Schizosaccharomyces pombe: one gene and its partners. The protein of the gene in region 4 interacts with the protein of the main gene of each other region in a biochemical or structural test. Each region holds a gene or a part of one and is shown on either strand. Other genes may lie near its edges.

What was found.
Region 1: of the proteins of cdc2 (region 4) and dis2, one has a biochemical effect on the other in vitro, tested with the Schizosaccharomyces pombe proteins (3 studies listed by BioGRID).
Region 2: of the proteins of cdc2 (region 4) and crb2, one has a biochemical effect on the other in vitro, tested with the Schizosaccharomyces pombe proteins (2 studies listed by BioGRID).
Region 3: of the proteins of cdc2 (region 4) and clp1, one has a biochemical effect on the other in vitro, tested with the Schizosaccharomyces pombe proteins (2 studies listed by BioGRID).

The regions. Positions count from the first base shown.
Region 1 is NC_003423.3:3,172,151-3,177,674, forward strand, and holds dis2 (serine/threonine protein phosphatase PP1 catalytic subunit Dis2), read right to left. Parts: upstream 2,949-5,524; coding exon 2,897-2,948; exon of another isoform or gene 2,829-2,896; intron 2,548-2,828; exon of another isoform or gene 2,501-2,547; coding exon 1,569-2,500; 3' UTR 1,015-1,568; downstream 1-1,014. Other genes in the region: rpl29 (60S ribosomal protein L29), read left to right, coding at 173-199, 253-411; hom6 (homoserine dehydrogenase), read left to right, coding at 4,544-4,583, 4,653-5,524. UniProt on the Schizosaccharomyces pombe protein: Essential role in cell cycle control. PP1 is perhaps required for exit from mitosis.
Region 2 is NC_003423.3:4,207,748-4,214,077, reverse strand, and holds crb2 (DNA repair protein), read right to left. Parts: upstream 3,112-6,330; 5' UTR 2,992-3,111; coding exon 655-2,991; 3' UTR 501-654; downstream 1-500. Other genes in the region: histone lysine acetyltransferase Rtt109, read left to right, coding at 1-438; proteasome regulatory subunit rpn1301, read right to left, coding at 4,799-5,512, 5,579-5,660, 5,701-5,780. UniProt on the Schizosaccharomyces pombe protein: Essential for cell cycle arrest at the G1 and G2 stages following DNA damage by X-, and UV-irradiation, or inactivation of DNA ligase. Plays a role in the response to DNA damage.
Region 3 is NC_003424.3:4,768,153-4,773,297, forward strand, and holds clp1 (Cdc14 family protein phosphatase Clp1), read right to left. Parts: upstream 3,565-5,145; 5' UTR 3,508-3,564; coding exon 3,459-3,507; exon of another isoform or gene 3,404-3,458; coding exon 1,839-3,403; downstream 1-1,838. Other genes in the region: exonuclease Rex3, read right to left, coding at 1-1,377; box H/ACA snoRNP complex subunit Nhp2, read right to left, coding at 4,530-4,994. UniProt on the Schizosaccharomyces pombe protein: Protein phosphatase which antagonizes mitotic cyclin-dependent kinase cdc2, the inactivation of which is essential for exit from mitosis. To access its substrates, is released from nucleolar sequestration during mitosis.
Region 4 is NC_003423.3:1,496,891-1,502,595, reverse strand, and holds cdc2 (cyclin-dependent protein kinase Cdk1/Cdc2), read right to left. Parts: upstream 2,389-5,705; 5' UTR 2,353-2,388; exon of another isoform or gene 2,311-2,352; 5' UTR 2,257-2,310; coding exon 2,220-2,256; exon of another isoform or gene 2,152-2,219; coding exon 1,983-2,151; exon of another isoform or gene 1,911-1,982; coding exon 1,610-1,910; intron 1,509-1,609; coding exon 1,203-1,508; intron 1,149-1,202; coding exon 1,068-1,148; 3' UTR 501-1,067; downstream 1-500. Other genes in the region: protein wwm1, read right to left, coding at 3,181-3,795; aminophospholipid translocase regulatory protein Ivn1, read left to right, coding at 5,105-5,157, 5,216-5,354, 5,577-5,705.

The DNA of each region.
Region 1 (5,524 bases), 1.7 Mb from region 4:
AGCACCAATGCAATGGGAACTCGCCGAAGTTATCATTCATAATTTAATGTAATACCGACGATATCGGTATTCGCTTTAGTAAACTACGCTACAGAAACTTGTAAACGTGACTGCTTTTTTTGAAACAATATTTTGCTTTGCATAATCCTCTTTCACCTATCCAGGAACCAAAATGGCCAAGTCGAAGAATCATACTAATGTGAGTTTGTCTTTGTAGATTGTTGAATGAATGTTAATACTAACTGAGCTTAGCACAACCAAAACAAGAAGGCTCACCGTAACGGTATTAAGCGTCCTCAAAAGCACCGTTACGATTCTCTTAAGTACCGTGATGCTAAGTTCCGCCGCAACCAAAAGTTTGCCAACCGTGGTACCGTCGAAGCTATTCGTCAAGCTAAGGCCTCTGCTTAAAATGCTTGGAATTAGTTGTCTTAGTTTGGTTTCTACATAAATGGCATAATTCAACGTTTTAAAAATTTTGGATTTCTAAAATGAGAATCTCGTTTGATTTGTGCTTCTAAAAATAAAGGTAGTCTGCCGGTTAAATTTAAAGCGAATGCGTAGAGTAAGCTCTTACTGGATGTATATGAATAGCTGTGACGTTCTGTTAATCTAAAGTAAATTGTATCATTGCACTTTTTAACAAAATTACCCGTGAGATTAATTGCGGTTGAACTTGTTTTTCGTGCTAGACTGATGATTCGCCCTTATACATATTGGCTAACTTTCGGCTAATCTTCACCGAATTTAGTCAAGAATTGGGTGGTACAAATTTTCTATTAATTGATAGTACCTTAGCAGCAGTATAAATCTGAATTTCTTAATATTATTATTGTGTTCATAGACTTGTTAGTGAGTACTCTGCTAACTCGCCGGTAAATAGCTGTAATGATAATAAGCACCTTACTCTCTCTTACGATTAAACGGTGGCTTTATATTATCAAATCCCAAGGAATGCCGAAACATTGTATAAGCCTACTGTATATAAACGTGTGAACTACCATAAAATAGCATCACTGAAAAGGAAATTTGATTGCATAGTAGTATAAACAATAACTAAATAGGCAAATTATTTTCCAACGTGAGACCAGTATACATAATTGAAATGAAAGACCTTTAAACAAAATTGTCAATGGTCATTATAAAGGATTCCACCGATAGCAAACAGAAGCTTGCAGCGGAAAATGCCATCATCAACGTTAAGCACTCTCTCGAAGATAAGAAGTATAAAGTAGTTCAAACAACTATTGCTCGGTAAAAACATCCGTCTTTTAAGCGTCAGATTTTGTTAAAAAAGGGAATTTAGATGATGAAAAATAAAAGGCAATAGTCTATATACATCTAACAATTGACGGAAAAGAAAGAAAATGAATAATGAAATGGTAGTGCAAAAAATAATTTCTTAAAAGAACATTCAGTTATTTCATGAACAATTAATCATCGACCATTGAGAAATGACGAAAAGAAATCCGTTCAAACAGCTACATAAAGCGGTATTATCGTCGAATTGTTGCTTGTGGAAAATGAAACCAACAAAAAAGAATGGGAGAAATTGGATTGAGCTTAAATTACTTTGAATTTCCTGTCTTATTCTTCCGAGGTGGAGTCATGTGCCAATTTTGACTTGAACCTTGGTATCCGTAGCGTTGTTTTTTTTCAGCCGGTTTCAAAATCTGGAAACTGCACAACAAGCTCTCGTCAACACTCATCATCGCACCTGCATTATCAAACTCGCCACAGTAATTAGGTGCACTGAACAATGTGACTAGCTGACGTTTAGAGAAGAACTCATAACCGTCTTCCACAACCTGATGGGCTCGGCAAACAAGATCCATATCGTGTTTGTGCAAAAACCGAGAGACAACATCAGGTCCAAACGTGAAAGAAACACCTCTATCATTATCACCCCAGCCTGTAAGATCCTTGTCAGGATCAGACCAAAGTAAATCACAGAGTAACCCAGTATCAGGGACATCGGTCGGTCGCATGATTCTTTGGATCTGGTCCATAGAGTTCAAATCTGGCGAAAGACCTCCATGCATAGTAAAAATTTTTTCATCAATGATAGCTGCTATAGGAAGGCAGTTGAAGCAATCTGTAAATGTTTTCCATAACTTAATGTTATAACGGCGCTTACATTCATCGTAAAATCCATAGATACGATTAATACTGGCGCATTCATGATTTCCACGTAAAATAAAAAAATTTTCGGGGTACTTGATTTTATAAGCGAGCAAAAGACAAATTACTTCCAAGCTTTGTTTTCCTCTGTCAACATAATCACCTAGAAACAGATAGTTGGCTTCTGGAGGGAATCCTCCGTACTCAAAAAGTCGAAGAAGATCGTAATATTGGCCATGAATATCTCCACAAATTTTCAAAGGAGCTTCAAGCTCTAGAAGGATAGGTTGACTAATAAATATTTCACGTGCTTTGTTACATAAAAATCGTATTTCATCTTCAGATAATTGAACCTGTCTACCTGGACGACTACCACGGACTAAAAGAAGTTAGTAAATAGCTAAATGGTTTAAATGGTAAAATTAAGGATGGAAGTATTGGTTAGAAAAATCATTCACACAGAAACACGATATATGCCAATATGCAATCGCATTTGAATACAAATATGCGTGATTATGTATATAAAGCAAGTGTCATCACAAATGAGACCAAGAATCAAAGAAAATGCTTTCTAAACGTTTTCAAAGAAAAAACTTTCCCTTTTTCCTGGGTTTTCCTCAAATTTTATGAACAGTTGAATGAACATTTACATAGAGTCGTTTCCAGTTTCTTCATGTAAATTATTGTATTAAACAACAACTGATTTCAATTTCCTTTCAAAAATTTGTCTAAACTCAACCCTTCATCATGATCAAGTCTGCTTTTCCCCACTCACCTTCTAACAAGCGGTCGATAATGGAATCCAAATCCACATCTGGGTTCGACATTTTACAGGTATCCAATATAACCGCTTTTGACACTTATGAAGTCAAATTTTTGGGTCTGTGATTAATTTTTTACTCGACCGAATTTCGACGATTTTTCTTCCAAGTAAAGTGTTCCGAGGAAAAGTAAGACGGACGGAGAACGGTATTCAGTCGGCAAACCGTTTAAAAGCAATATTTGCTGCTAACTCAGAAATAAAGGTTATGGCTAACAGTAGGAAACTGGAGTGAGTTGTATGTAGTAGGTAGTTGAATGGTTGGGTGGTGGGTGTACAACGAGCTTGATGCATAATATGTGCCTACTTTCCTATATTCCTAGTTTCTATAATCACTACTACATTAAAAAAACGTATATAAACCTATAATTAAATTACTTTGGAATTCTTTTCTTATATTAATTGTTGATTTTAAACAACCCTCTAAATCTTGCTGCTCTACAAATTGTCTAGCAAATTGATTCAATTTTCTTTATTAATAAAAGGTGAAGAATAATTTAAATATTTTAAGAGATAGCAACCTACTTCAAGATAATATCGGTTTATTGTTTTGCAAGAAAACTTCATTAGAATTTAAAATGGTATATTCAGAACATTTTAATTTCGCAGTATTTTATCATAATATTTTATTTTCTTCTAAGCTTGATTTAGAAAATAAATAAATAATTTAATGTATGTTATCTGAACTTTTAAATTGAAAAAGCTGCACCTGCTTATGATTTGAGTTTGCTAATCATAATAATATGCATATATAATTAACAAATTATATAGTCAGATTGGTTTCATTACAGTTTTTCATTTTCTTGAACCCTAGACTTTTCTCTTCAAAAATCTCTTTTTTTTTTTTTTTTTTTTTTTTTTTTAATAATAAAAAAGCAAATTTGATGGATGGAATGTGATTTATTTAGACACTTAGCAGCATATAATTTAATTTACGAAGCAAAAAATTAAATATTTTTTTTCACGAGTCGATAAACACTAATAAATCACATAAGTTGATTAAGTGGTTTTTATTAATTGTAAAAGTAAATATATGATTGTATGCCATTGAATCCCATATATGAAATTTAATGCGTTATATTTATAATTTGTGATTAATTTATATAAATCGGCTTCTATACTAGATTTCTAGCTAAGTTTATTTAGCGGAGCTTCAATAAAACAAAATCAAATTAAATAAAATTTGTATCAAACGAAATCAACATCATTATTGCTACAGTAATAGATTTTGCGCTTTTGAGTATTATTACAAATATGTTCTGACTCGATTAATATAATGTCGCTCACATTTTGTTCACAACAAATATACCTGCAAAACTTTGATATCAATCAGAGAGAAAGATCCTTCCTTGGTTGAAAACTCATTTTTGGGTATAAAATAAACTCTTCTAAAAAATGTTTGGTATGACAATATTTAGACATGGAAAAAATTTAAATCTCCCTAAATTATCTACACTTTCTAAAATTTTATTTCCCTACAACAAAATTATCAATTCGTATATCACCTCTTCCAAAGTTTCCTTTGAGAAAACCCTTGTCACTGCTTTTCGTAATCCGACCCAACGTCGTAGCATCTCTACCTCTCCCACCCACTATTTGAAAATGTCAGCTAGCAGAACTAACGTTAACGTTGCTATTGTTGGTAAGCACACAATAAATTGAATGCTTGAATGTTTTGTAAAGCGAAAGCTAATCACTTAAAAATAAATAGGTACAGGAAACATCGGCGGTGAACTCTTAAACCAAATTAAGGGTTTTAATGAAAACGCTTCTACCAATGGCACTACCTCTTTTAACGTTGTTGCCATTTCTAGTATGGAAGGTCACTACGTCTCCAAGGATTATCAGCCCATTAATTTGTCTGAATGGAAGAACCTTACTTCTCAGAACCAAGGTGCTTATTCATTAGATGCTTTGGTAGATTTCCTTGCCAAGTCCCCCCTTCCCGCCATTTTGGTCGATAACACTGCCTCTGAAGCAATCGCTCAATCTTATCCTAAATTTTTGAGCAAGAAAATCAACATTGCTACTCCCAACAAGAAAGCATTCTCTGCTAGTAATGATGTCTATCAAAACATTATCAAGGCTAGCAAGGAGAGCGGTGCTTTATTGATGCACGAGGCTTCTGTTGGTGCTGGTTTGCCAATTATCTCCACATTAAAAGAACTTATCGCTACTGGTGATGAAATCATAAAGATTGAAGGTATCTTTTCTGGCACTCTGTCTTACATCTTCAACGTTTGGTCTCCTAACGGCAAGAAAGGAACTGCCTCATTCTCTGATATCGTCAAAATTGCCAAACAAAATGGCTATACCGAGCCTGACCCTCGTGATGACTTGAATGGCATGGATGTCGCTCGTAAAGTCACCATCTTGTCTCGTATTGCTGGTGTTCATGTCGAGTCAGCTAGCTCATTCCCTGTTAAATCGCTCATTCCTGAACCTTTGAAGAGTGCTGTAAATGCTGAAGAGTTTTTAGCTGGATTACCTAACTTTGATTCAGAATTTGCTAGCATGCGCGAAGAAGCTGAGAAGGAAGGCAAGGTTGTCCGTTTTGTTGGTGAGGCTGACGTTGCTAACAAG
Region 2 (6,330 bases), 2.7 Mb from region 4:
TTATGCGAGCTTCAAGATGAGAAAAGTGACATGTCCGTTGAAGAGTTTTGGGATACGCTGACTTATAGACAAGAGTGCTCCTCAGGTAAACTAGTTGGCTTTTTCACATTACAGCTACAGTTCTATCAAACAAGAGAATTTATTGCTAAAGATAATTTTGGTGATTCTGGTGTAATGATTCCAGCTAAATTATACAGAGTCACTTACGATACTTTATTGAAGCATCCATTTGGCTCTTTATCTGATGCACAGTCGTCAACAGAAAAGTTTCTTAGTAACACACTTTCCGCTGTACAAAATTTAAAGGATTTTCATTATAAGCGCTACAAGCTAGATATATGTGGGTTGGCAAAACGTGATGATCGTAAAAATCACAACCATTCGAAACCTGCTACGCAAGCCAATATTCTACAGCCACGAAAAAAAGTGAAAAAATAAAGGACTTTAAGTTCGTTGAAAATTTTTAATAATCCCAATCAATCCTCTCATGTAGATTTTTAGAGAAAGTTTTTGTTTAATATTGAAATTGACACTTTTCGTCAGTATTGCAAATAAATTAATAAACAACAAATATCTAAAATTAATAAAAAGCTAAATTAATGAGAGTGAAACTCAGGGGGAGTTAGTAAAAATAACTATATCAAAAAACCAAAACTAAGTAGAAATATCAGACTGACTAATAAGACATTCGACTATCCATTCAGGATCAACGACCGGACAATTAGTTTCATCTACAATGTTTCCATCCATCGTAAGTATCAAATCACACTCCAAATGTGCAACATTTGGTCTAATTTCAACGTCAGCACCCAATGCCAACGCGTGATAGACATGAGCCAAAGCTTTTTGACCCTGCTCTGTATTTTCAATCTTTTTCTGCCAAGATTTTGCTTCAGGTATAATAAATAAAATCTTTTTTCCAAATAAAGGACCCTTCCTTGCCAAAAGTCTGTCATATAAAGAATCAGTGGTATCAAAAGGTTCTATCCGTTGGGAAAGTGTACAATCTAGACGGTGTGAATAGCCAGATGCCAATAAATAAGGAGAAAAATCAACAACTCTGTTCATTTTTAAGCACTGTTTAATAAATTGAGGATGGACACACGGGATATTAAAAGCTAGAGCTTCTAAATATTTAACCTTTCTAGAAAATGTGTCAGATACAACGAAAGCTTGATTCCACGATTTACTTCGCTTTTGAGGTTTCAAATGGCGTAACTTTTTTTGTTTGCTTTTAAACGGGTCATTAAACAAAGGGCGTAAGCCTGTATCAAGAACTAATCCTCCATGATCCTGAACTACAGTTTCCAATGCACTTCGGTCATAGGCATCCTCATGCACGGGACCGCTGAATGCAAACACGCAATCGTCAAAGATGAGCTGATTACTTTCTGAATCCAAGTTCTTCTTGACAAAGGAAGAATCCCTTTCTTTCAAAGAAGAGCGGTTTCTCTGAGAATCATGTGAAGGAAGAAATGATGTTTCCTCAAACTTCATATCTTTTAAAGTAGAAAAACTGAGGTCTCTTCCTTGAAACCGCCGAATGTTCACAGGAGCAACATAAATAGTAGAAATGGGAACCGTAACCTCAATTTCTCCGTGTGCCAAAATAACCATGTCGTTGTTTAGAGCGTCCACTGCTATAAGGGATAATTGCTCATTAGTAGATCGAAATGTTTTCACAACAGTATGCTTGATTTTTCCTAATCTTGTGGATTGTACAACGTCTCCTTTTTTCAAAAAAAATCTCTTAATTTGATTTGAATTAACCGTGCTCATAGTTGCATCATCAAATTGAACCTTATACATGATGGAACTTGTTACGGCTGAATGTACGGGTGCGACAAGAGTTGCTGGGTAGTAAAAAGAGGGATATCCTTTAAAAAAAGCGAGTACACGGTTTTTAAAAGACCTTCTTGAATTCGGTGATTGGGAAGGTTTTAATGGCTTAATAGAAGCCCTAGTGAATAAACTATCAATTTTAGGAGTATCCAGGCTTAGGCTGTCAGACCTTGAGATAGCTTGATTATTAACCGATTTTCTCAGCCGTTTGTTTACAAAAATTGAGCTCACTTGACTAGACTGATCTATTACAGTCGACGGTGAAGCACTTGTTTCATATGAAGAAATCACATTAAATGGATTAGGAAAGTTTTCATCATTAATGTTTTTAGTTTTTTTTGAAAACTTGGTTTCCGTATTATCAACTTTTTCAGACGAGGGCTCAGTAAAGCTAAATTTTCGTTTATATTGTTTTTCGGATGTCTCTGGTAAAAAAGCAGGAGGAGTGGACTCTACTCGACCATAAAGAACGGGAGACCCTAGAGAAGTCGCCAGTCGAGTAGGTGTAGTCTCTACTTGACCGCTTTCTGTCTCATTTTCCATCTCATCCAAAGTGTAATCGTAAAACTTTGTCCTATGTTGAGCTACGGTTTCAGGTACAAGGACTTCTCCAACGGTTTCTAAGTTTTTCTCATTTTGAGAAACTGACAAAGGTGTATCTTTTAAAGTTGAAAGAGTTGATGGTAATAGAGAAGTAAATGGGGAAAGAATTTGGGAAGAATTAGATACATTCTGAGGAGTCAACAGCTTTTCATGGTCCGATATAACTGATTGACGATCGTATAAGCGTTTTAACACTGTATGTGTCTGCTTGGGTGAATAAGGCGACGATATCACCTTACGAGAATCATGTTGAATAAGTTCATCATCCGAAATGTCCTGGGAACTCTGTTTTGCAAAAGCAGCTTGACTAGGTACTTCAAACAACTGCGTAAGACTTAGCTCCTCAACAGCACCATTGTTATTCACATCCTTAGAATAACTAAACTCCTTATTAGAATTATCATTACTCCTAGGAGGGGAAGGATTAATTGAAGCATTCACTTTTGAATAATTGTTACGAGAAATTGCTGCTTGTGCTCCAAATACACGTTGAGAATTTATGTCAAGGCCAAATCCTTTATGCAAAGAGGTATCATTCACCTCCATAATATTGTTAAACTTTCAAACAAAATATTGAAAACATCTAAAATACCTCACAATTGTCAGAACTACAAATTTAACCAGGGCTTAACCCAAATTTCGATTTATCTGTTGTAAGCTCTGCATAAGTAACACGTTGCACCGTTACTTTATATGAAAGCAGTTAAGAACGTTTAGTTACAACACCAGCTATTTGGCTAATCATATATATATATATATTAATATGGAAATGAAGGGCTCAAGGTAGAAAAACTTATTTTCTAATTTTATTAATAATTGTTTGACCTGATGTACAAACTACAGCATGTTTCCACTTTTATTAATACGTTCGATAGGAGATTTATGTTGTTAGAATCAGTAATGTTGAAGAAGTAATTTTAAATTTGAGTTTTGAACTTTTCATCTTGACTTTTTGAAACAATCATAGAAAATAGATTTTGCTTGTTTAATGATATTTCTAAAAAAAGAATGTCAAATATAGTTTCAGGTTATATTGCTAACATTCATATCTTATTCGTAGTGGAGCCAACATACATTCGAATTCCTAATGAGTGATAACTATCGTTTATATACTTTATTAAAACTTAACAGCTGTCTACGGCCATACCTAGGCGAAAACACCAGTTCCCGTCCGATCACTGCAGTTAAGCGTCTGAGGGCCTCGTTAGTACTATGGTTGGAGACAACATGGGAATCCGGGGTGCTGTAGGCTCCTTCTTTATTATTGCTATTTAATTACTACTATTTTGTTTGAGTTGACTATCCGCATACATTGTTTATATGATTTTTTTTCATGCAAATGAAGACAAGCAGATAGACGTTATAAAGCGATTATGATTGTAATGAGCAAGTCTAAATTTGCTCAAGAGAAAGAATGTAACAAGCCATAGCTCAAAAAAGCAATTACATTTACTACGCTTTATTTTTTTAACAATATATATTACTAAATGTAACGGATGACACCGAGGTCGGGTAGCGTAGTTGGTTATTGCGCACGACTGTTAATCGTGAGGTCGAGGGTTCGAGTCCCTCCCTGACCGTTTTATGACCACTTTTTTGGCTGTTTACAAAAGTAAAATCGTTAGATTTGAAATTCAATGATATTGCGCAAAAATTGAATGTGACTACACGTCAATACTTTAACCATTTACAGTTGGCTACTTTCTAGCTTTAGTAAATCATTTCAATACTGTTCAACTTTCTAACTTATTAAGAATAGATGTTGGTATTATGTATTTGACATTACATATCCTACATTTTACCAACTGTTTTGGAAATAAAACATATTTTGTAAAACAACAATAATCAATATAAAGCATAAATAATAATGAAGTATGAAGTAGAGATACTTCGGGAGTGCAACTTCTCATTTTTAGTCGTCCTAATGTAATTCATCCTTGGCGCTCGCAGTTCATATTCATGAACATACATTGCATTTATAAATCTTAAGTGTTTAGGAAAGATAAGCATTGTATGCAAGAAAAATAAAGATTGCCTATTTCCTAAAACAAATATTTCATATATGAGAAAAAATGAAACTGTACCAATAAACATTCTGTAAAGAGCATTTTGAGCGAGCAACATTGTATTGTGTACTCCAACTTACTCTTACTCATTTTGGTAAGAGGACAAATCCTACCATGAAAGCATTTTAATTCCTCCATATTTATTTAAAAAAAAAAAAAAGAACGCCAGTAATGCTCAATTTAAAAACTTTTAATACGAATCGTCAGTGAATTATAAAGAAACGATTCAACGGATAATATTTTAAATAGAAATTTTTGATATACGACGAATTACTTAATCGAAGACATTACTCAGAACCATTATTCCTGCTCACGAAGCGAGCAATTGCTTTAAGAAATTGCAGAGCACCTCCCTCATTAGGATTGGCAGATTCGTCGAGTGAGAGACCAAGTGCTGAAATAATGTTTACACCACCAGGAGAATTTAAAGCTTGAGAAAAGCTTCTCAAAGCTTGAGCATATTGAGGACTACTAACAATAGCCAAAACCCCCTCCAAATTATTTGGGGTATCAGGAGGCATGTAAGGCATGAGTCGATCAATAACACCTTCTTGGCATAAAAGATCGGTTAAATTCGAAGGTTTGAGGATTTCGCAAAGATCGACTGTACTACCTCCAAATCCAGCCTGAGCAGAAATTGTAGCCAATAGATTCCTCACAGCTTCCGATGAATTAATTTCATCGCTGTTCGGGGCTCCAATCTCGGAGCTCTCTTTTGAAGATTCAGTTGGTTGAGCAATAGGTTCCGATTGCTCAACAGTATCCACTTCCATCATATCAGAAACCGTTGCAACATCAGAGCGGGCCGGATCTAATAAATCTTGATCCTTAATGTAGCTGTTAATTCTTTCAGCGTAAGAAGTATCGTTATCGTCTGAGGCTTCTTGCATCCAGTAAAATAGGCTATGAGCGCTAGAAGGATATTTGAGCATGTAAGCTCTCCCAGTGGTACATTCCGTAACTTTTTCAAATGTACACTCAGAAGAAAATACAATTATATCCTAAACTTGGTTAGTATCGACTAGAACTTTTAATGTGTTACAGGTGGTATTGAAAGTGATACTTACATCCTCGGGATTTTCAAGATCATTCCTTTTTGCCCATTGAAAATGAATTAATCCATAGGCGTCCCGATTCATGACTATATAACTGTGATTTGTTAGCTATCATACATAATATGCGAGCATACCCTTTTTCTGGGTCAGCACGTAAAAGCTTTGTTCCTGGAACTCTGCGAAGCTTTCCTGCTTTGAAAGTTATCAACGACATTATCCCAATCGCAAACTGCTTAAACTGCGAAATGCAAAAGACAGGTTGTATGTACTGTGTCGAAACCACGAAGCTCTAGCTTTCGTTGTAGTTCGTTGCGTTGTTTAACAATAACGTTTGATTACACTGCAAAAATCCTATCCTTGAAACAAACATAGCTTAATTTGGGTAGTATGATAGCTTCGAGGAAAAATAAATATAACTTATAAAATAAAATAATCAAATATTTAATAATGTTATGTAAATGATACCTTACTACGTTTGTGAGAAAGCGTAAATACAGCATATTTAGATTCTGAATTATCTTTGGCTGTCAATTAAGTAGTTATATTTCAGATCCTACGATTGCAATTGAGCGTTGAATTCGCTATTTATATTAGGTGAATTCTTAGTCAATACGATATTTAAAGGAAAAATATGTTAATTCCTATAACCCTTTAAGCCCTGAATCATAATGAAGTTGGTTCTTTAGGAATACCAAAAATTACTTGAACAGACAAATACTACATTAGCAATCCTTTCAACGTCCGTAAATGATAAACAATATGAT
Region 3 (5,145 bases), on a different chromosome or scaffold from region 4:
TGTATTTTTATTCATGCCAAGTTCCTTTATTTTAATATACATTTGATCCATGGTAATTCCTGATTCTAATTCTTTGGCATCATGTATCCCGCTAAATCGAGTATTGAGACTCAAAATTTTGCCTTTAGGCTTTATAAACACATCCATAATAATGCTTTCCTTTGCTACCACCGTCAAACGAGCCAATTCCATCCCGTTCGTAGTGTAGCATAGTTCACAATCTAACGCGCAATGACTTAATTGCTTGCTATTTGTACTGTCTGGTAAGTAGGAAAATGGATGAACGCTAGCAAGATACGGAAGATGTCGGTATTTGAACACATGGTTGTCTTCTATAATACAACCAGACGAATCGCCCTCTTTTACACCACAGCAAGTGTATGTACGAATCTTCTCCCCCCCTTGCTTTTCACGAAACAGTTTTCCCCAATGATATGTACATGGTCCTCGAGGATCCGCAAACCGTGTACCACATCGATCGCATTCACGAAGTTCATCTGGCGGGTTTACTGGTGCAACGTCTCCAATATTATATCCCCATAGAATCAATTCTTCTTCCGAATGAACAAGTGACTCAAGTTTCTCATCAGGAGTTGATCCTTGTATTTCATTTTTCTTCGGAGCTTTCTTAAGAGATAAAATTTTAGACTTGCAGGAGGAACTGTATATCATTTTACTGTTTGCAGTTTCACAAATATTTTTTTCATCGAGAAGAGCAAGCATACTACTTTCTGCATTGGAATAGCCTAAATCCTTGTAAGACTCATATAACAAATGTGTCATTCGTTTTCTCAGTTCATGCCCAGCTGGTGAGTTGGAGTCATATTTAGGAGTAGGAATGATATTGGAAGACGCTCCTTGAGAATCTGAATTAGTACTAATGGCTGATACAAGTTGCTTCTTCTTATTAGGAACGATGGAAATGGCATCATTAAATAAAGAACGCTTTTTTAATACAGTATTTGTAGGTAGATGCGTCGTTTGATGATTCAACTGCTTGCATTTGTAAGTTTCTAGTACGTCCATACGAAAATTCTCATTCTTGGTTTCTTTAATGGAATCATTTGTCTTCTCCAAATTTAAAGTGGTGGATATATTTTGCCTAATGTTGAAATTAAGATTTTCAACCGAATGATAAGGGATACAGGTCGTAACTATTGGAACACAAATAGACAGTTTACAATTATCGTATTTGTAAGGAAGTGATTTTTCAATTTTAACTTTTGGGTACCCTTCAACATTTTCGGAATAAGGTGGTGAAATCTTTGTTGAGTTTTGAAAGTCATGACTAAAGAAACAATTCCTAGACTGACATTTGCGTCCAGTTCGTAGAAATGGACAAACTATGTGCTTAAACTGACCCAAAGGTGAAAACATTGAAGCAAATTAGGTACAACAAGTAGGCAGATTTCCGTTGGGAATTTAGATAAAAATTCTCAAGCAAAATATAATAAAATGTACCGCTACGAACAAAGATACCATGCACCCGCGAAAGAACCTCTTCAGCCAAAAATAGAATGGCGAAATCTTGAAATTCGTAATAAAAAACAAAGACTTTTTATATCATAACCAAAACAATTTCTCGATTAAAATCATTAACCATGGCTTGCAAAAAGCCAAAGTTTTTTCCAAAGAAATATGAATGTTAGTTAACAAAAAGGATAGCTAAGACATTAATGGTGGTGATCCCCACCGCGCAAAGGTGCGCTAAATCAGGGAATATTTGTAAAGTTAATTAATGAAAAATTATGCAGGGTTGACACAGTATAATTCAAAGTTAGTTTATATGAAAAAAAGGAATGTAAAAACTGCCATTTAAACCAGTAATTACAGGTTTATTAAGAAATTAGCCGGCTTTTAGAAGGCTTAGGTTTAGCAACACGGCCATTAGAAGTATTGTTAAGTGATGACATGCTAACACTTCGCTGAGCACTTTTTTTAGAATGACTAGACCCACTAGACCACCTATTTCCACTTGTACGTCGAATTGGACTACCAGTTGGTGAGGATGTCGGAGAACGAACTCCATTTGGTTCGATATTGCTTTGACTTGATGAGCGACGCAAGCGAACCACTGAAATTGTTTCAGTTGGAGTTCCAACAGTCCGTGTTTCATCATCATTTTGTATTTCTGAATCTTCGTAACTACTGTATGACGCTTTGTTCTCATTTTGGATTGATTGCTTGGAAGCATTTTTAAGTTTCTCATTAAATTTGACAGAGGACGCTGAAGGGAGACGTCTCGCCGACGGTGGATTATGTCCAGAAACTTTTCTCGGTTGGCCAGGCGTTGGTTCTGGAAGAGGAGTACTGATATTGCTTTGAGAGGTACCATTCGTAGCATTCAATGGATGGCGAGGAGGAGTAGCTAAGGGTTCCGCAGCGGTGGCCTGTTGGATTGCTCTTCCCATCGCCTTTTCGTAAAAATATGCACGGAAATGAACTTGATTAATATGTAACCAATGCTGTTGTGGACCTACAACCATTCCAGGACGCATTATTCTCATGTAAGCAATAACTTCATTAGCAGTAAAACAATGTTTGTATATTAAATATGCGCCAATTAAGCATCCAGTACGTCCGAGCCCTGCTTTGCAATGAACAGCAATCACACCGTCTTCTTCTACTTCCTCGGTAAGGTCAATAAACTCTTTGACAAGAGAAAGCTCTGGAACTGTGCCATCCTCAAAATACATCTCTTTATGTCGAATTCCAACATTTTCAAAAGTCTTTTTATCGTAAAGAGGTCCATTAAGCCTAACTATCAGTTTGACCTTATTAGCGACGAAATAATCGAGAACTATCGCAAACGGTTGAGGAAGTTTCTTTGGACGTGTGCTCGCATGATTCCAACCAGCCTGAATAGGACTTGCAAATGCTATAAACTTAGGAGATATCCAATTAAAATCTCCATTCTCCACTCTTTCATAAGTTTCATAGTCATGAACATCGATATTACGTATATTTAGTATGCTGCTCTCTCGTGCTCTCCACAGTCCGTAAACACAATCTTGAATCGTGATATAGTAATCTGAAACAGCATATCCCGCATCTCTAAACCCCAAAAAAGGAGGTTCTGCCTGAGCTAAAGGGGCTAATGCGAGATGTGGAGGCCAGTTTTGTACTAACACCATGTAGCAAGCTAACAAACAAGCGGCATTTGCACGCAACCTTGTATCTGTAGAAGAATATAAAACTATAGCCTTGCTTTTCTTAGCTTGTCTGTGTTTTCCCATGATACCATGAACTATCACTGCAAATCTAATAAGATGACTCACGTTCAGCGGACCAAAGTCATGATAAAAAGGGTTGTAGATCAATTCATCATCGATAGTAAAAAAATGCATATGAGGATATAACTCGGCTTTAGGTGGTTGCGACAATGATGTGTAGTATAACTTGTCTATTTAACATGTTAATCAATTTTACGAGATATTTGAGTTAAACTTCATGCATACCCTCCAAAAACTCAATCATTTCACCAAGCCCATCATCTTGGTAATCCATCAGACAAGTAATTGCGAATCTCGTCTATATTCGTCAAACCCGTAATGGTTGAGTTCTAAATTGTGTACCTGGGTGTTGGTGGTCCTTGTAAATAGAAGGGATGATAATGCACAAGAAAATATGTGGGGTGCGAAACAAATGAAGACAAAAGTGGATTCTAAACTATACACAACGTTATGTTGACATTTAATCTTTTCTCTTTATTAAAAAAAAAAAGACATTAACTTTTAGCAACACTATAGTAAATAAACAACAATAATCATTATCTTACAAAGTAAGTAAAAATGCACATCAATTTATGATAAACATACAGAATACTTTTTGCTCATACAAATACAACCCAACTTTTTTATCTGAAATTCGATTTGTTTTAGCAAATATATTTAAATCCGATAACAAAATCCGGATAGATAACCATATAATTGCCGGACCTTTAAAGCTACCCTAATCTATCATTTATGGATAGCACTGGAAAGCATAATATTTGTAAACATTATAATGGTAAGAACGACGTTGGGTGAAATTTAAGTTAGTTGTAAACTGGTTCTAACACGCCGCCTCTGAATACTAAATAGCAACCTAAACGAATAATAAAACTTTTTTGCGCAACTAGTTAGAAATAAACACAGGCTAAATCCGTAATGAAACGATCAGCGTAAACGAAATTTGAGGAAAAATCAGTTGATATTTCATCGCTGTTACAGCGATATACCATTCTCATATAAGTTGGTAAATGATACGATATTATTGCTAACAAAGTTTTGGAGGTATAGTGATTAGTTTGCTCGCAAACCAGTCTAAACCCATAAAATACTAGGGCATAAGAAAGAATGATAAAACACTAGATTAAAAAGGAAATTTTTTGAAACCTTAAAACCGACCATTAAGCAAAACTTCTTTTCGCTTACTATCAAGCAAACAGACATGATATACCAAAAGTTAAATCCCAGGATAAATACCAAATTTTAATAGTATATAATAATCTACATTAAATGGCTAAGCATCTTTTAGATATTGAACAATTAAACTTCAAGAGCAGGTACTTCTTTTATAATTTCCTCGTAGCTTTCCTTGTACTCCTCAACTTTAGACATGTCCTTCTTTTTTCCACCGGGAACAATCATAACACAGCTAGTAGGTCTCTTGGTGTTTGATGCTTCACCAAGCAACTCTTTGGAAACAGTATATAAGTAAGGGACATTATTGTCTTCACATAATACTGGAATATGAGATATAACATCCATGGGAGAAATATCACCAGCAAGAATTACAAGACCCTTCTCTCCTTTTCTAACAGCCTTTACAACCTCTTTGACCCCACGAAGGATGTGTTTCTGCTTCGAAGCCTTCTTGACAGTCTTCATCATTTTTTTGTTCAATTTTTTAGGAGCTAAAGGCTTAGCAATTGGCATTAAAGCAGGAAGATATGAATCATACTCATCTTCGGTGCTTCCACTATGCTTATGGTCTTTTTTATCTTTTGCCATGATAAAGAAATGGAGAAGGATAAGTTTGGAAGCCCAAAAGATGATCCCAATAAAACTTTTTTCAGTAACGCTATGTAGCGGATAATAGTCTGTTAAGCCATCTGTATAATACGTAATTTTAAGATACCAGCTTTGGTAATATTCCTTAAAT
Region 4 (5,705 bases):
ATTTAATTGGTTACCTTTTTCTATGATTAAAGCATGGAAAGTAAAATGTGCATGCGCAGTTTAATGGAAATGCTCTTCCCTCCATGTATTTGCTCCCTTTTCATTCCTCTCAAGCCTCCAAACAAATTTGTCCTGCGTTTCATCTTTAGACGTTATATTTCCAATATGTCTCGTTTCATTCTGTCCAATTACACTTTGCCAGGTTCAATCGTTAGTATGTATCCATGCATCTAGTGGTTTCTCCTGCGCTGTTTAGTTTTACTTCTTGTTTATACGATTTATTAATTTTGAATTTTTCCAAACGCTCTAGGTATAGACTTAAGCTGTAAATGATGCTCGCTTAGCGTTCAATATAGTGTGAAATACAAATATTCATATCACTTTCATCTTGTAAAATTTAATAAACACGTATGTCTGTTGAACAATAAGCACATTTACGTTCTTTTACCGTTTGCTCGTAAAATTAATTCACCTCTTTGATACTAAATACATCTAAGTAAGTGCAGTTTATATGTTCAGAGCAAACACGAACACTAAAAACTAAAGTCTAAAGAATATACACCTTTTTTAATACTTAAGTATAAAAAATATGTAAATAGAATATAGTATAAATGAGGATTAAAAAACTGGAAAACAAAGGATAAGAGTAAGTAAGAAAAAGGGAGATTAAAAGGCTTCAGTTTTATCAGGAATGAAAGAAAAATAGATTTAAACACTCAGAGCCTGCTTTTGTAAAAAGAACGGCGATAATTCCCTTGACAGTCAAAGAAAGCATTTAAAGTGATATTTACAATAAAGACACAGTAAAGGGAACAGAACTAAAAACGTTACTAAATTCACATTTAATGGCAAGCTCAATATGTCAGTGTTTTTTATATGCCCTGTAAATTGCCCATTGTTTGAGTATGTTTTGAACAAACGCCAAGATTCGAAAAAGAAGGAGGAAAATAAATATTTTCGGTTTATAAATTGAGGTAATTTGTTAATAACTGATATCAAGAAACACAGCAAAGTACAGATAAAGTCAAGGATAGCGTTTTTAAAGGTTTAATAATAAGAGACGAAAATTAATGAAAATCACGAAGATAATTTTGTTGCAAAGCTCGTTTTGCACTAATGCGATGGGCAGGGTCATAAACAAGCATAGCCTTGACAAAATGGTTAGTAATTAGTCTTAAATAGATGGTAATGCAAAATCTTACAGAGAGTAATTCAATAGCGTCCTCTTCACCATTGGGAACAACTTTATGCAAATCCATGCGTTTCCAACGAGGAAATGTGGATTTGTAATCTTGCAAAAGCGTGACTCCAGGCCATACTTCTTCGTTTGGGGTACCTAAAACTTGAAAAATTTTAAAAATTTCGTCGATCTCAGAGTCACCGGGAAATAATGGACTTCGTCGAATCATTTCAGCAAAAATACATCCAACGCTCCAAATATCAACCCCAGTGGAATAATGTCTTGATCCCAACAATACTTCAGGAGCACGATACCATAAAGTGACAATCTAAACGGTTAGCGACACAAATTAATGCTGAAAGACCGTCAGTCAATATTCCAAATTTTTTGGGAATAAAGTCATACAGCCAAGTAAGAAAAAAAATATACCTCATGCGTATAGTTCCGCAAAGGGACACCAAATGACCTCGCAAGTCCAAAATCTGCTAGCTTCAAATTGCCTTCTTTGTCTATCAACAAATTTTGTGGTTTTAAATCGCGATGAATGATTCTTCTAGAATGGCAAAAATTTACACCGTTCACTAGCTGGTAGGTAAACTTTTGAACAAGTCTCGGATCTAAACTAGTGGCCCCAGTTTCTGAAATTCGGTCCATGTATTTTTTCAAATCCATGTCTAAAAACTCAAAAACAAGATACAACTTTGATTCAGCATGTAAAATATCCAAAAGTCTTAAAAAAGGGTTAGAAACAAAGTTTTATCAATGTAAACATTTCCCATGCATCCGTCAAGTAAAAACTTACCGAACACAATTTGATCGATTATTCTCATCATTCACTTCTTTAAGAAGCGAAATTTCACGAATAGCTGTGCTAGGAACTCCCTCAGATTCATCTTCAAGGCGAATTTTTTTCATGGCCACAATACGCCCTGACAATTTATGTCTTGCTTTATAAACAACGCCATAGGTTCCTAGCATTAGTCAGTATACGTGACAGAAAAGAAATTGGATAAGTCATAGCTTCCTCAGTTACACCTACCTTCCCCAATTTTTTCGACTTTTTGATAATTCTCCATTGCAAACCACTAAAAGAAGCAACCTAGCGGTATGTTTTTTGGAAAATAATTTTTCTAATATCTGTTAATAGAGATGCGAGAATGATCTCAAAATACGTTTATACAAATTTGCTTATGTTGTGTTGTGCTGTGGGTAAGCTTGCTCAACTAGCGATAGACTAGTGGAAACGCAGAGGACTATTATCAAACCGAACTTAGGGCTAGCGCTTCATGTTTCTAACTTATGAATTATACTGTTATCAAAAATGAAATTAGAAAAGTAGGACATAACTCATTACTTGCAATTTATACTAGGTGATCAGATATGAAGAACTACATAATCAAAACATCATCTGAAGACATTGTATAACCGTGAATTAAAAAATTGTAAATGTGAATATCAGTCAAAAAAGTGCTATTATTAAATAAATAAATTTACGGTAGGTTGGATTATCCTGAGTTGTCTAATATTTATAGACTAACCCTTTAAGATAAATGTGAAATTGTAAAAACTGTCAAAGACTTCTCCACCTGCTCGCAAAGAAAACAAAACATTTTTTTTTATTTAAAAGAAAAATAAATAAATAAATATCACACTTATAAAAACAAGCAGAATCCGTGTGTATGTCAGAAGTTACAGAGTCATAAAAAAAATCCAGATAGATAAAAAGCATTGCGAAGGAGAAAAGGTAAAAAAAAGTTAATATAAATAATAACTATTACTAGGGAACAGCATTGAATAAGTCAATATTCATTTACGACGAAGACTTTCGAGTTAACCACACTAATGAACTATCCCCGTGTACACACAGGTGTAAAATGAATGATCTTATATTTCTGCAGTAAAATATGTATTAATCGTTCATCTAATGTAATTTTTCTTGCGAGAAACACTTGTCAATAATGCAGTTGAACTCAATAACATAATCGATGCATGAAATTCCCTTAAAAGAAATCATTGCCAAAGTCATTACCTCCATAATCATCAAAATTGTTGTAGTTATTATCATCTACATAAACAACTTCTTCAGGACGATCAAAAGCTTCGTCCATTTCATGCATAGCCAAACCACCGACAAGAAGTCCGCCCAAACCAGTCACCATGGGATTAGACAAGACTCCGCTACGACCTCTTCTTGCAGAAGTAGCAGGCTGGGCATATACGGGTTGTGCGTAGGCAGGCTGGGCTGGGTAATAATTTGGTTGATTGGGATAATAATATGGTTGTTGAGGATAACCGCCCTGAGGGGGATAAGGCTGTGGAGCGGCCCCGTATGCTCTGTTTTGGGAAGCTGCGGGAGCAGGAGCAGGAGCAGCAGAAGAAGCAGAAGCGGCAGGAGTGGCAGGAGCGGCTGAGTTGGAATAAGAAGGAGGCGGTCCACTTGGGGGAGCAGAGTGGTCCACCGAAGGAGGTGGTGGAATAGTTAAACCACGGACCGGACATTCCCATTGCGGCTTTGCTTTGGGATCACTTTCATTAACATAAAAGTAACACTTGTAGCGTTCATCCCACTGAGCGACCCAGCCATTAGGGAGACCTTCACGAGTTTGATAAGCCATAATGGAATTTAAGAAATATGTTGAGTATAAATTGAGAGAAAAGTTTGGAATGAAGGGAATATCTTAAAAAATAATTTTTTTGGTAAAAAAGACAGTTAACAAAAAATAAATGAATTCTAATACTTCTATCTGCTCTGTACGCAAGAAGTAATGGTAACAACAAATGGAAAGAGAAAGAATACTTCTAGATAGTTGGCCTTTTGCAAATGAAAAAGCAATTGATCAAATAAATGAAATTCCGCGTATGATGGTGAGATAATTATAGTGGTTAAGATCGATAAGAAGGTTGGAGAAGTTTGATGCTAGCAGCAGTCATGGAGCTATTCGTGGTGAAAGGTGCCACTAGTATGCTTAATTTCTTAAACTAATATTCAGCTATACAGTGATTCTTATAGGCAGTTTTTTTTTAAATTTGTTATCTATTACATTACATTATAACGAAACTACTTGAGCAATGTAAGTAATCAATATTCATATAGCGATACTTAGCTGTTTCTACAAATCTACAGATATTATACAGGTAATTGAAAGTCTCAAAGAAGTGAAGAAGCGGATAAGTTCATCACTCTTAAACATTACTTTGAAAACCGCCGAACAAAACTTTATAAAGCTTAGAATAAAAATTGAATCACCACGCTGGAAACCCCCTTCTAACAACATAAACTAAATCATGAAGAGCAAAATGATATGATTCTAATTTTATGGATAAAAAGGGTACGGCGGTGAATCCTGTGTCTTGTGAATGTCATTCATTATTTAAAAAAACTTTTTCTGATGATGGTGAATATTCCACTGATTTGATTTATAAAAACCTTGAATACAAGCGGGTATATTATTTGATTTCCTTTTTCACCGCATGGAAAATTGCTATTTATTTCATTAATCCATCGGCTGAAATAATCTTTTCAAGAATACTGTGTATAAACGGCTACAAAAAAATTATAATTAACATAATTAAAAATAAGAAAGGTTTTTTATTGATTCACTGCAGCTGCTATTAGCGATTTCATATACGATTATAAGCAATGAACTTAATAAGTCATTCAAAATTTCACCCAAAAAAAAAATGCTTTTAGGAAATCAATACTATACGAGTTATTTACTATGAAATAACTTTGATATCTTTTGTAATCAATGCTTTTTTCTCTGTGTTTACATATAAATTGTGTCATATAACCTGCTAACCCAAGTGACAGCGAGAGAGTAAGGTGATGATGGAGTTTTGCGCAGTCTCGCACTTTTACCAAGGACCAAGTTAATCTTGCATTCTTCATATTCGTAAGCATTGTTGAATGCCTGATTATATACTATGAGTCAAACAGAAATAGTTAAAAAACCAAAGCATAAGAGATTTAAGCGCCCGTAAGTTGTCTTGATTACATTCGTTTTTTGGCAAATTGGTTTACTGATCCGTATGTAGTGACAAATCTCGGTTTGTTCAGCAAACACTTCCTGCTTGGCAGTTTATATTCACACCATGGACAGTCTTGCCGTTATTATTCTTATTAGGCATAGTGTTTGCTCCTTTGGGAGCTGGCATGTTTGTGGCCAGTCGACGGGTAAGTCTAAGCATCACGCGTTTCCATAGAGCTATATGTTTCAAATTGATAAACTGGGTATATTTTGCAATACATTACTGTATTTTGGAAAGATATGATTATTTGCGAATAATTTTTATCTGATTATAGCCTTATCCTTTGTCGGTGTTAGCACACGTGTAGCCCGAACGTTACCGAAAATATCATTTTTTCTAGATCATTTGCTAATCAACATTTTATTAGGTCAAAGAGCTGCGAATTGACTATACTGATTGCATGAATATAGGCGATGAGTTTAAACAAGTTCCTTCCACGAATATTGAGTTCCAATATAAAAATGTAAAAAATGTAACAGCGATGTGGAAATCATCA